Arabidopsis thaliana: one gene and its partner. The protein of the gene in region 1 interacts with the protein of each later gene in a pairwise test. Each region holds a gene or a part of one and is shown on either strand. Other genes may lie near its edges. The genes, in order: CZF1 and AT4G37180.

Region 1 (5,200 bases):
CTAATCCATTATGTTTGATGTGACGAGAGAAAAATAAGTGAATATTTAATACTATATACTATAGTATATTTTTGCAAAAGTTAAAGGTGTTGCATTAATTTTTTGATAGCAAACAATTAAGGAAATGGGGGAAAAAGTGTAAGCGGGCGGCCAAGTGAAGACATTCTCTGTCGCCCACCCAAACACCAAAGAAGAGAAGGCGTGCCTCACTTTCCCTCTTTCTCCACGCACTTCTCCTTGCCCGTGTTTCTCACTCGCTTTACCCTAATCACTCCATTACAACTATACCTACAAGACCATTAAGATAAGCTTATCAATAAGAACACTGAGATAAAGTTGATCTCTATTTACGAATTGTTTACTACCAATAGATTTTGATTCGTACCAATCTTTTAAAGTATGTATGTATTGTTTGAATAGTAGTTCTACCGAACCAAAAATATTTTAATTGATCATGTAAAATATATTTAAGATTGTTGTGTGTTAATTATAGTGATCTTTAGAAAAAAGAGTAGCCAACGTGATAATGAAAGCGCGTGTTAAGAGTATTGAAACACTCACACGCTTGTGGAGGTTACCTGCTAAGTCGGTCGATTTGATCGATGGTGGGTCTTTTACACATCCCCAACGTCATTTACCATTTATTCAACCTCATATATTATGTTCTTGATGATGAAAAAGAACATAATATTTTTTTTTTTTTTTTTTTTTAATTTTTTTTTGATGATGATGAAAAAAAAAAATATTATGTTCTTTTTTAATTTCTTTTTAATATTTTTGACAGTAATTTTATTTTAATCTTATTTTGTTACAAATAGTTTTTAATACCTTAGGACCTGTTGGAACTTGGAAAAAAACAATATTTTTTAATATCTCAGGATCTTTGCCCATACATGTTTTGGGCACCCATGCGTTTATATGAAAAACAGCATGCAGATGTAAAATATAAACAACTGTAGATTTGGTCAGATGTTAAAATTTAAATTATGTCTTTTGAAATGTGACCTATAATTGTCCAGATAGATATACATAACTATTTAGTAATTGTAAGTCTATTTCCTGTAATGTATTCAGCTAAATGCATGTAGATAATCTGATATCACATACATCTATAGCCATATAGAGAATGCATAGTAACATCAACAACATATAAATTTTGGGCTATTTTCTAATGAGGGTTTTTGAGTATAAATGGATCTCCTAAAACGAGTTTACCGGATGGGTAAGGTAGTAGTTCCCTTTGAGTTTTCTTTCTGCTTTGTATAATTAAAACAAAGTAATTGATTAGGAACTTAGTAGGTCCTAAAGAGAACCAACAATGGTTTCGGTTATAAATAAACCAAATGGGTACATTATCCTTATATCTAGAAACTTTAACCAAAAACAAGATGTTATCTAGAAACAATAAATACATCCGGAATGAGACTTTTTCTTATGTAAGTCGATACAATGGGGGCATTGTTTTATTTCCCTTCAAATGAACTTTGCTTTTTGATCATTTTAAAAAGCCATATTGAAAAAATCAATGAGATAGGAAGATAGATATTATAATATTCTTTTTATAAAAAAGACAAAAAAAATACACTAAAACAATTGAATAAGAGTCAGCAAAACAACGACGTCCTTACCTTTTTTAAAAGTTTCCCAGTTTTGACTTTTGACCTAAACCATTTCCATGTAGAAAGAGAGCAAAAAACAAAACAAAACAAAGATAAGTAAAAAATAAAAATGATATAAAGAAGGAAGAAGAAGACCGAGAAAGGTAGACGAAAGAAAGAGCGTACCTTCCTCTTTCCTTCTTCGTAAAAACCAAGTTCCTTTTAAAAGGAGCCTCTCCTTTCTCATTTGATCCTTCTTCAAAAACCCCAACCACTTCTTCTCCCCAAAAACCTCCAAAGTTTCAATCTTTACTTCTCTCTTTTTCTCCAAGTTATCTTCTTTTCTAGGTATGTCTTGATTCTTTCTCTCTCTGTTTTTTCCTATTTCATTCAGGATTCTGGGTTTGGTTAAATCTTTAATCTTTATGGTTTTAATGGCTTGATTTTGACGAAACGGTCGTGTAATTATTCATTACTTTGCTTAAATTGGGGATTGATTTTGTGTATAAAGAAGAATCTTGAAAATGAAAAATTGAAACTTTGAATCGAAAGAACTCAATTTGCGTTGCTCTTTCTCATTCTTTGTTGCTTTCTCCTAAAAGTTTTTCACTTTTGAATCACAGGAAGAGATATGTGCGGTGCAAAGAGCAACCTTTGCTCATCTAAAACCCTAACAGAAGTCGAATTCATGAGGCAGAAATCAGAAGACGGAGCTTCCGCCACGTGTCTCCTCGAATTCGCCGCCTGTGATGATCTTTCATCGTTTAAGAGAGAGATCGAAGAGAATCCATCGGTGGAGATTGATGAGTCAGGGTTTTGGTATTGCAGACGGGTCGGGTCTAAGAAGATGGGTTTTGAAGAAAGAACACCACTTATGGTTGCTGCTATGTATGGAAGCATGGAAGTGTTGAATTACATAATTGCCACAGGAAGATCCGATGTGAACAGAGTTTGCAGTGACGAGAAAGTCACTGCTCTTCACTGTGCAGTTTCTGGCTGTTCTGTTTCTATCGTTGAGATCATCAAGATCTTGCTTGATGCTTCTGCTTCACCTAATTGTGTTGACGCTAATGGGAACAAACCGGTTGATTTGTTGGCTAAAGATTCTCGGTTTGTTCCTAACCAGAGTAGAAAGGCGGTTGAGGTTTTACTGACCGGGATTCATGGTTCGGTTATGGAAGAAGAGGAGGAGGAACTGAAGAGTGTTGTGACTAAGTATCCAGCTGATGCATCACTTCCTGATATTAACGAAGGTGTTTATGGAACTGATGATTTTAGGATGTTTAGCTTTAAGGTTAAGCCATGTTCTAGGGCTTATTCACATGATTGGACTGAATGTCCTTTTGTTCATCCTGGTGAGAATGCAAGGAGGAGAGATCCTAGGAAGTATCCTTACACTTGTGTGCCTTGTCCCGAGTTTCGTAAAGGGTCTTGTCCTAAAGGAGATTCGTGTGAGTACGCGCACGGTGTTTTCGAGTCTTGGCTTCACCCGGCGCAGTATAGGACACGGCTTTGCAAAGATGAGACTGGTTGTGCTAGGAGAGTTTGTTTCTTTGCTCATAGACGGGATGAGTTAAGACCGGTTAATGCTTCTACTGGTTCTGCAATGGTTTCACCAAGGTCGTCTAATCAGTCTCCTGAGATGTCTGTTATGTCTCCTTTGACGCTGGGATCATCGCCAATGAACTCTCCTATGGCTAATGGTGTTCCTTTGTCTCCAAGAAATGGTGGTTTATGGCAGAACAGAGTTAATAGCCTTACACCACCACCGTTGCAGCTTAATGGTAGCAGATTGAAGTCGACTTTGAGTGCTAGAGATATGGATATGGAGATGGAACTTAGGTTTCGCGGTTTGGATAACCGGAGACTTGGTGATCTCAAGCCATCCAACCTCGAAGAGACTTTCGGATCATATGACTCAGCTTCTGTGATGCAACTTCAATCACCAAGCAGGCATTCTCAGATGAACCACTATCCGTCTTCACCTGTGAGGCAGCCTCCTCCTCATGGATTCGAATCTTCAGCAGCCATGGCAGCTGCAGTGATGAATGCAAGATCCTCAGCGTTTGCGAAACGCAGCTTGAGTTTCAAACCAGCTCCAGTAGCTTCTAATGTCTCCGATTGGGGATCACCAAATGGGAAGCTTGAGTGGGGAATGCAAAGAGATGAGCTGAACAAGTTGAGGAGAAGTGCCTCCTTCGGCATTCATGGAAACAACAACAACAGTGTGTCACGCCCTGCTAGAGACTACAGTGACGAGCCAGATGTGTCGTGGGTGAACTCACTGGTGAAAGAGAATGCACCAGAGAGAGTGAATGAGAGGGTTGGGAATACGGTGAATGGTGCAGCGAGTAGAGACAAGTTTAAGCTGCCGTCGTGGGCAGAGCAAATGTATATAGACCATGAGCAGCAGATTGTGGCATAAGAAGCAGAAAGAAAGATGTGGGATTTATATTGCTTTTGTCTTCTGGGCCTCTCTACACAGAATCTAACAAATCTGGCAATAATTCTTTGATTTGTGTTTGACCCATAGTTTGGTTACTAGTATATGTTTTTTTATGTTCTTTTTTTCTTTGTCATTCTCTTGTCCTTCGTGACACTATGTAATGATTAAAAGCAAATAATTGATGCATGAGTTCAAATGTTCTTTGAAGGATCCATCTTATTAGCTTTGTAATTGTTGTGATATCTTAATCTTATTGGTTACGTATTTCAAGTGCTTTAGAAAAAATGGGCCTAAGAGATTTTGGGGAGCTTTTTTGGCTTGTTATTTTCCTCACATATACAACTTGCAGCTTATTATTTATTGAAAATCTTTTCTTATCTAGATTCAAAAAGATTTCCACAAATTTTAATTAACGACCCCTGATTACAAAGAAACCTACCCAAAGTCAAATTTTGTCCATAATTTCTATCGTGTAGGACACTAAAAAGTAAAAACTCATACCTAATTGGTTTCTAGTAGAAACGGTCAGTGCACTATCTTTCTTTCAGGTTATCGAAGGAAAAAAGATCAGTAGAGTAGCATCGTTAATAGTAGAGTTAAGAAAAGCATGTAACATGTGGTCTACTTTTTATTTCACAGAAAAATACCATACCATGTGATAATGTCGCATAAAATCTTTACTTTTCCGGTGTTATCGATGTGTGTTAATGCTAAATACCCGAAACAATTTCAAGACTCAATTTTGAACTATCGAATAGAATTCTTCTAAAATGGATGAGGAAAAAGTCGCTGGTTTAAGTCGTGCGACCCTCAAAATAAAGTTAGGAATATAATCACAAGCTGCATACTTTCATTAATCAATTTAAAAAGAAACGACTAACTTTATTCTTTCTTTGCCAAACTCCATAATTAGTTAAGTCTATGAATGAATGTGAAGAGAGAGTTTTACATTTAAAATTGTAAAGGGCAAATTATAGAAAATTCTGTGTCCACCAATTAGGCTTGGCTCTTTAACTCACTGTTCTCAATCTTTAATAATCCCCATCTTCTTTTCTCCTATATGATTATCTCTCTTTCCTTCGTGCGTGTTATCTCTCTGAGCCACATGCCGACACTTACATAACTGTTGACCAAGTCTCTCTTCCTTCTTTATCAA
Region 2 (4,435 bases), on another chromosome or scaffold:
AATTCTTGAGTTTTATTTCATATAATAATATTAAGTATAATTCACCTTTTGAACGATATAAGTTTTGATTAGTAAAAAAAATGGATGAGTAGTGGAATAATTTGCAAGAAATAATGGTGCTACATAAGAATGATCAACCTAGTTTCTTGAAAAGAATATCAACACTGAAATGAACAAAAATATTCATAATACGATAACCAAAACCAACTAAACCATGAAAAGGGCACTTATAAACACAAAGGTTACGTGATTTCTTGAAACTAATGCTCACCGTGAATGTAAATGGACGTTGCGTGTGGTAAAAATAAAGAAAAGACAAAGAGATCTTTTGACCACTTCACTCTTTTAAAATCACATACGTATGTGTCGATTTCTAATACAGCTAGTAGCTTGTGTTAGCAAAATTTAGTATAATTTTTTTCCGGGTAAAATGTTTAGTATAATTTTTTAGTAAAATTTAGCAAAATTTAGTATAATTTTTCTATTCGAAAAGATAAACTAAAGCGAATATGTCCTATACTAGTAAAGATTAATTATTTATACGGCTCTACTAATTTAGTCTAGTTATATGATAGTAGTACAAACTGAAGTACGAATTTATGTATCGTACTACTTGCATAAACGTACATGTGGTTTTGCCTATCTAAGAACATCGTTTAATTAAACCCGATTGTATAGTTTGAATGTTTTATCGGTTTTTAAACGAGTGGTTCGAATTCCATGAAACCGAGATTTCAGTATAGCTCTGTGTTTGAGATACAATAACAAATACATGAATCCATAGCCCATAGGCCATACACGGTTATGCCCATTCGGTATTGTTGGTCTAGCAAAGTTATTTCTGACGATGTGCTACATGTACTATGTGGTACATACCTTTTTTATATTCAACATTTAATCTCATATCATGTTGACTATAAATGTATAACTTTCAAGCTCATAACATTTAGGTTATAAAAAGTCAATATTTGTTGTAGTCTAAATCTTCTTTATTTCAAACGTAATTTTTTACTCCAAAAAAGTGTAACTTATCTACTTTTAATTGTTAAAGTAGGAAAATAAAATTTGATTTTTCTTTAAAAAAGTAGAAAATTGTTAATTTTGTACAAATAAATTTGATCTTTCTTAGTTATAGTTTGATTTTGTTAATTCCTTATTTTTAATTTTTTATCCAATAATTGAGTTGCTTTATTTTATTTTTAGTCTTTCAACAGATTCTTTTTATATTATCTTTAATAAATATTTTAGTGGGATATTTCACAGCCTGAACCACTCCATATGCAGAAAATAGTGTTTGTAAAATATTATAGATTCTTCAGAATCCTCTTTTTAAGACTAATTTGGGAAAATATTAAATACAGGATAACAGGAATATGAGAATCTTGAATGAGAAGAGCACTAAAAACAAAATAAATAACAAGTTTCCCAAAACTGAAAATTGTAATATAATTAATAGCCGAATTAAAAGGAAAAAAATCCTTAAAGAAAAATATAAAAAAAGAGAAGAATAAATATATATAAGTGAGTGTAACGATTCGCCGCGTGTGTACGGGCATCACAAAAAGATTCTTTCTTCCATTTAAAGATAAATCTAATTTTAATATTGACAAAAACACCCTCAAGTCTCCACTTATTTACAGCGGCTACGGTTCACCGCGTCCTTCTTCTTCTTCCCTAATCTCATTTTTTTTTTGTTCTCATTTATCTTCTTCAGCATCTTCATCATCTTCTTCTATATATACCTCTTTAAGCTTGCTTCTCTTTGTCTTTATCTTGTCCGATGGTTCAAACAGAAACCGATCAAAGGATGGGTCTTAATCTGAATTTGTCTATCTACTCTTTACCAAAACCCTTATCTCAATTTCTCGATGAAGTGTCGAGGATCAAAGACAATCATTCCAAACTGTCTGAAATCGATGGTTATGTCGGAAAATTAGAGGAAGAAAGGAACAAAATCGATGTTTTTAAACGAGAACTCCCTTTATGCATGCTCTTATTGAACGAAGGTATCTTTTATTAAAATTCTCTCCTTTTCTTTTTTTTATCTTCTCTAATCGATTCGTGTTTTTGTTTAAAGAGATTGTTTTTCTCTGTGTAGCGATTGGGGCGTTGAAGGATGAGGCTAGAAAAGGGTTATCACTGATGGCATCTAATGGGAAATTCGATGATGTTGAAAGGGCAAAACCGGAAACTGATAAGAAGAGCTGGATGAGCTCTGCCCAGTTATGGATCTCGAACCCTAATTCCCAATTCCGATCGGTACGATCAAAAAGCAACCCTTTTTATGTTTTGTGAAGAATCATATGTTGTGTGATTGATCTTGTTGACCTTATGATCATGTTTTGACAGACAAATGAAGAAGAAGAAGATCGGTGTGTGAGTCAGAACCCATTTCAGACATGTAATTACCCTAATCAAGGAGGGGTATTTATGCCATTTAACCGTCCCCCACCTCCTCCACCACCAGCTCCTCTGTCTCTCATGACTCCAACATCAGAGATGATGATGGATTATAGCAGAATTGAGCAGAGTCATCATCATCATCAATTCAATAAACCTTCTTCACAGAGTCATCACATTCAGAAGAAAGAGCAGAGAAGGAGATGGTCACAGGAACTTCACCGTAAATTTGTTGATGCTCTTCATAGGCTTGGAGGGCCACAAGGTTAGTCCTTAACCTTAGTAAAGGATCAAACTTTGCTTTAGATTTGATTGATTGATTATACTGAGATTGTTTTGTATTGTTGTTGTTGTTGTTGTTGTTGTTGTTGTGAGACAGTTGCTACACCAAAGCAGATTAGAGATTTGATGAAAGTTGATGGTTTAACCAATGATGAAGTCAAGAGCCATTTACAAGTAAAAGTTCTCATCTTTTACAGTAACTTAAACTTTGATGTGTGGATGAATGAATGATTTTGACAGTGCGGTGAAATGAAATTGTTATTGCAGAAATATAGAATGCATATCCGTAAGCATCCGCTGCATCCGACAAAGACTTTGTCATCGTCGGATCAGCCAGGTGTGTTAGAGAGAGAATCGCAGAGCTTAATAAGTTTGTCGAGGTCGGATTCGCCACAAAGCCCACTTGTTGCAAGAGGGTTGTTCAGTAGTAATGTTGGTCATAGCTCAGAGGAAGATGAGGAGGAGGAGGATGAAGAGGAGGAGAAGTCTGATGGACGTAGTAGCTGTAGAAATGATGAAACAAAGAAGAAGAGACAAGTGTTGGATCTTGAGCTTTGAAAGTCTGCATAGTGAATGATATAATCTTTACCAACTTATGTTATATATGCTCAAAACTTTGAGTTTGTTCGGGAGTTTTTGTAGATGTAAACATGAGAGTTGAAATAAGGAAGAGGATTTTGAGCAAAAAGTAGGGTTTGTTTTTGCAAGAGGAAATAGATAGAGAAGAGTGTTCGAAATCCTCTGTGTTTTTTTTTTTTTTTTTTTTTTACTTCATAAGTAAGATAAACTCATATATCAAAGATTTTGTTTTTATACTTATTACAGTCTCAACCATGTGAATGAAGGAGTCATTTGTTTAGTTTTACCAGCTCGTCATACTAATTACCTTTTACCTTCGAAAACAGAGGATGAAGAAACATCACAATCTTTGTCTCTTTCTGTAACTCATCGTTTTCTACAAATCTACGTAATCTGAGAGAATAAGTAAGGGGAAAAAAAATAAGAATCTTTTATTGCATAAAATCGTACGAAAAGATAAGATTTTTCGTCTGAAAAACGACAAGATTTATTTTCACTATTGAAGGAATTGACAATGTATATAGAAAAAATCTACTCACTGATTAGTGATTTGATGAATAGTTTACTTCCACGAGATTTGCATGTTTTGTGGATAAAGCTTCTTGCACCATGTAACATACATTAGCCAATAGTATAGGGTAGATATTTATCTTTTGACATAATTTTCTTCAAATTTGTTATTTTTATTCAAAAATTCAAATAGTTACTCTCTGCTTTTCACAATTAATGAGTGTATATACTAAAGACATTTAAGCGGCAATGGAATATTTGTTCAAATTGGTTCGGTCGATTCAGTTTCTAAACCCAACCGGTTTATTCACCCGGTTATTTCGAGTCAATTTATGTGGTTTTGTGGTCTCTGGGCCTCACGGGGCCGCCTCTCCGTCTTCATCAACATTCTCAAACTCTTTTACAAATCTAGGCTCGACGAGGGTTTAAGCAATCACCGGAGCTCTTAGTCTCTTACGCTGTGAGCTAAGAACCGACCTTTTGCTTAGTTTCTTTCAAGTCTCCAATCAAACAACCATGAGAGAAATTGTGACGATTCAAGTTGGAGAATTCGCAAACTTTGTTGGCTCTCACTTTTGGAATTTCCAGGTTAGAGAAGCAAAACCTCCTGTTGAACTCTCTGCTCCGATTCTTTTAACAATGGATTCTGGGTTTTGTCTGTCTC

What was found.
Region 2: the proteins of CZF1 (region 1) and AT4G37180 interact in binary tests that used the Arabidopsis thaliana proteins (3 or more experiments, as listed by UniProt).

What each region holds. Positions count from the first base shown.
Region 1 is NC_003071.7:16,770,308-16,775,507, forward strand, and holds CZF1 (zinc finger (CCCH-type) family protein), read left to right. Parts: upstream 1-1,689; 5' UTR 1,690-1,946; intron 1,947-2,221; 5' UTR 2,222-2,229; coding exon 2,230-4,023; 3' UTR 4,024-4,427; downstream 4,428-5,200. UniProt on the Arabidopsis thaliana protein: Involved in salt stress response. May positively modulate plant tolerance to salt stress.
Region 2 is NC_003075.7:17,502,868-17,507,302, forward strand, and holds AT4G37180 (Homeodomain-like superfamily protein), read left to right. Parts: upstream 1-1,696; 5' UTR 1,697-1,780; coding exon 1,781-2,006; intron 2,007-2,077; coding exon 2,078-2,259; intron 2,260-2,349; coding exon 2,350-2,665; intron 2,666-2,779; coding exon 2,780-2,856; coding exon of another isoform or gene 2,857-2,913; exon of another isoform or gene 2,914-2,949; coding exon 2,950-3,240; 3' UTR 3,241-3,637; downstream 3,638-4,435. Other genes in the region: AT4G37190 (plasma membrane, autoregulation-binding site, misato segment II, myosin-like, tubulin/FtsZ protein), read left to right, coding at 4,288-4,359.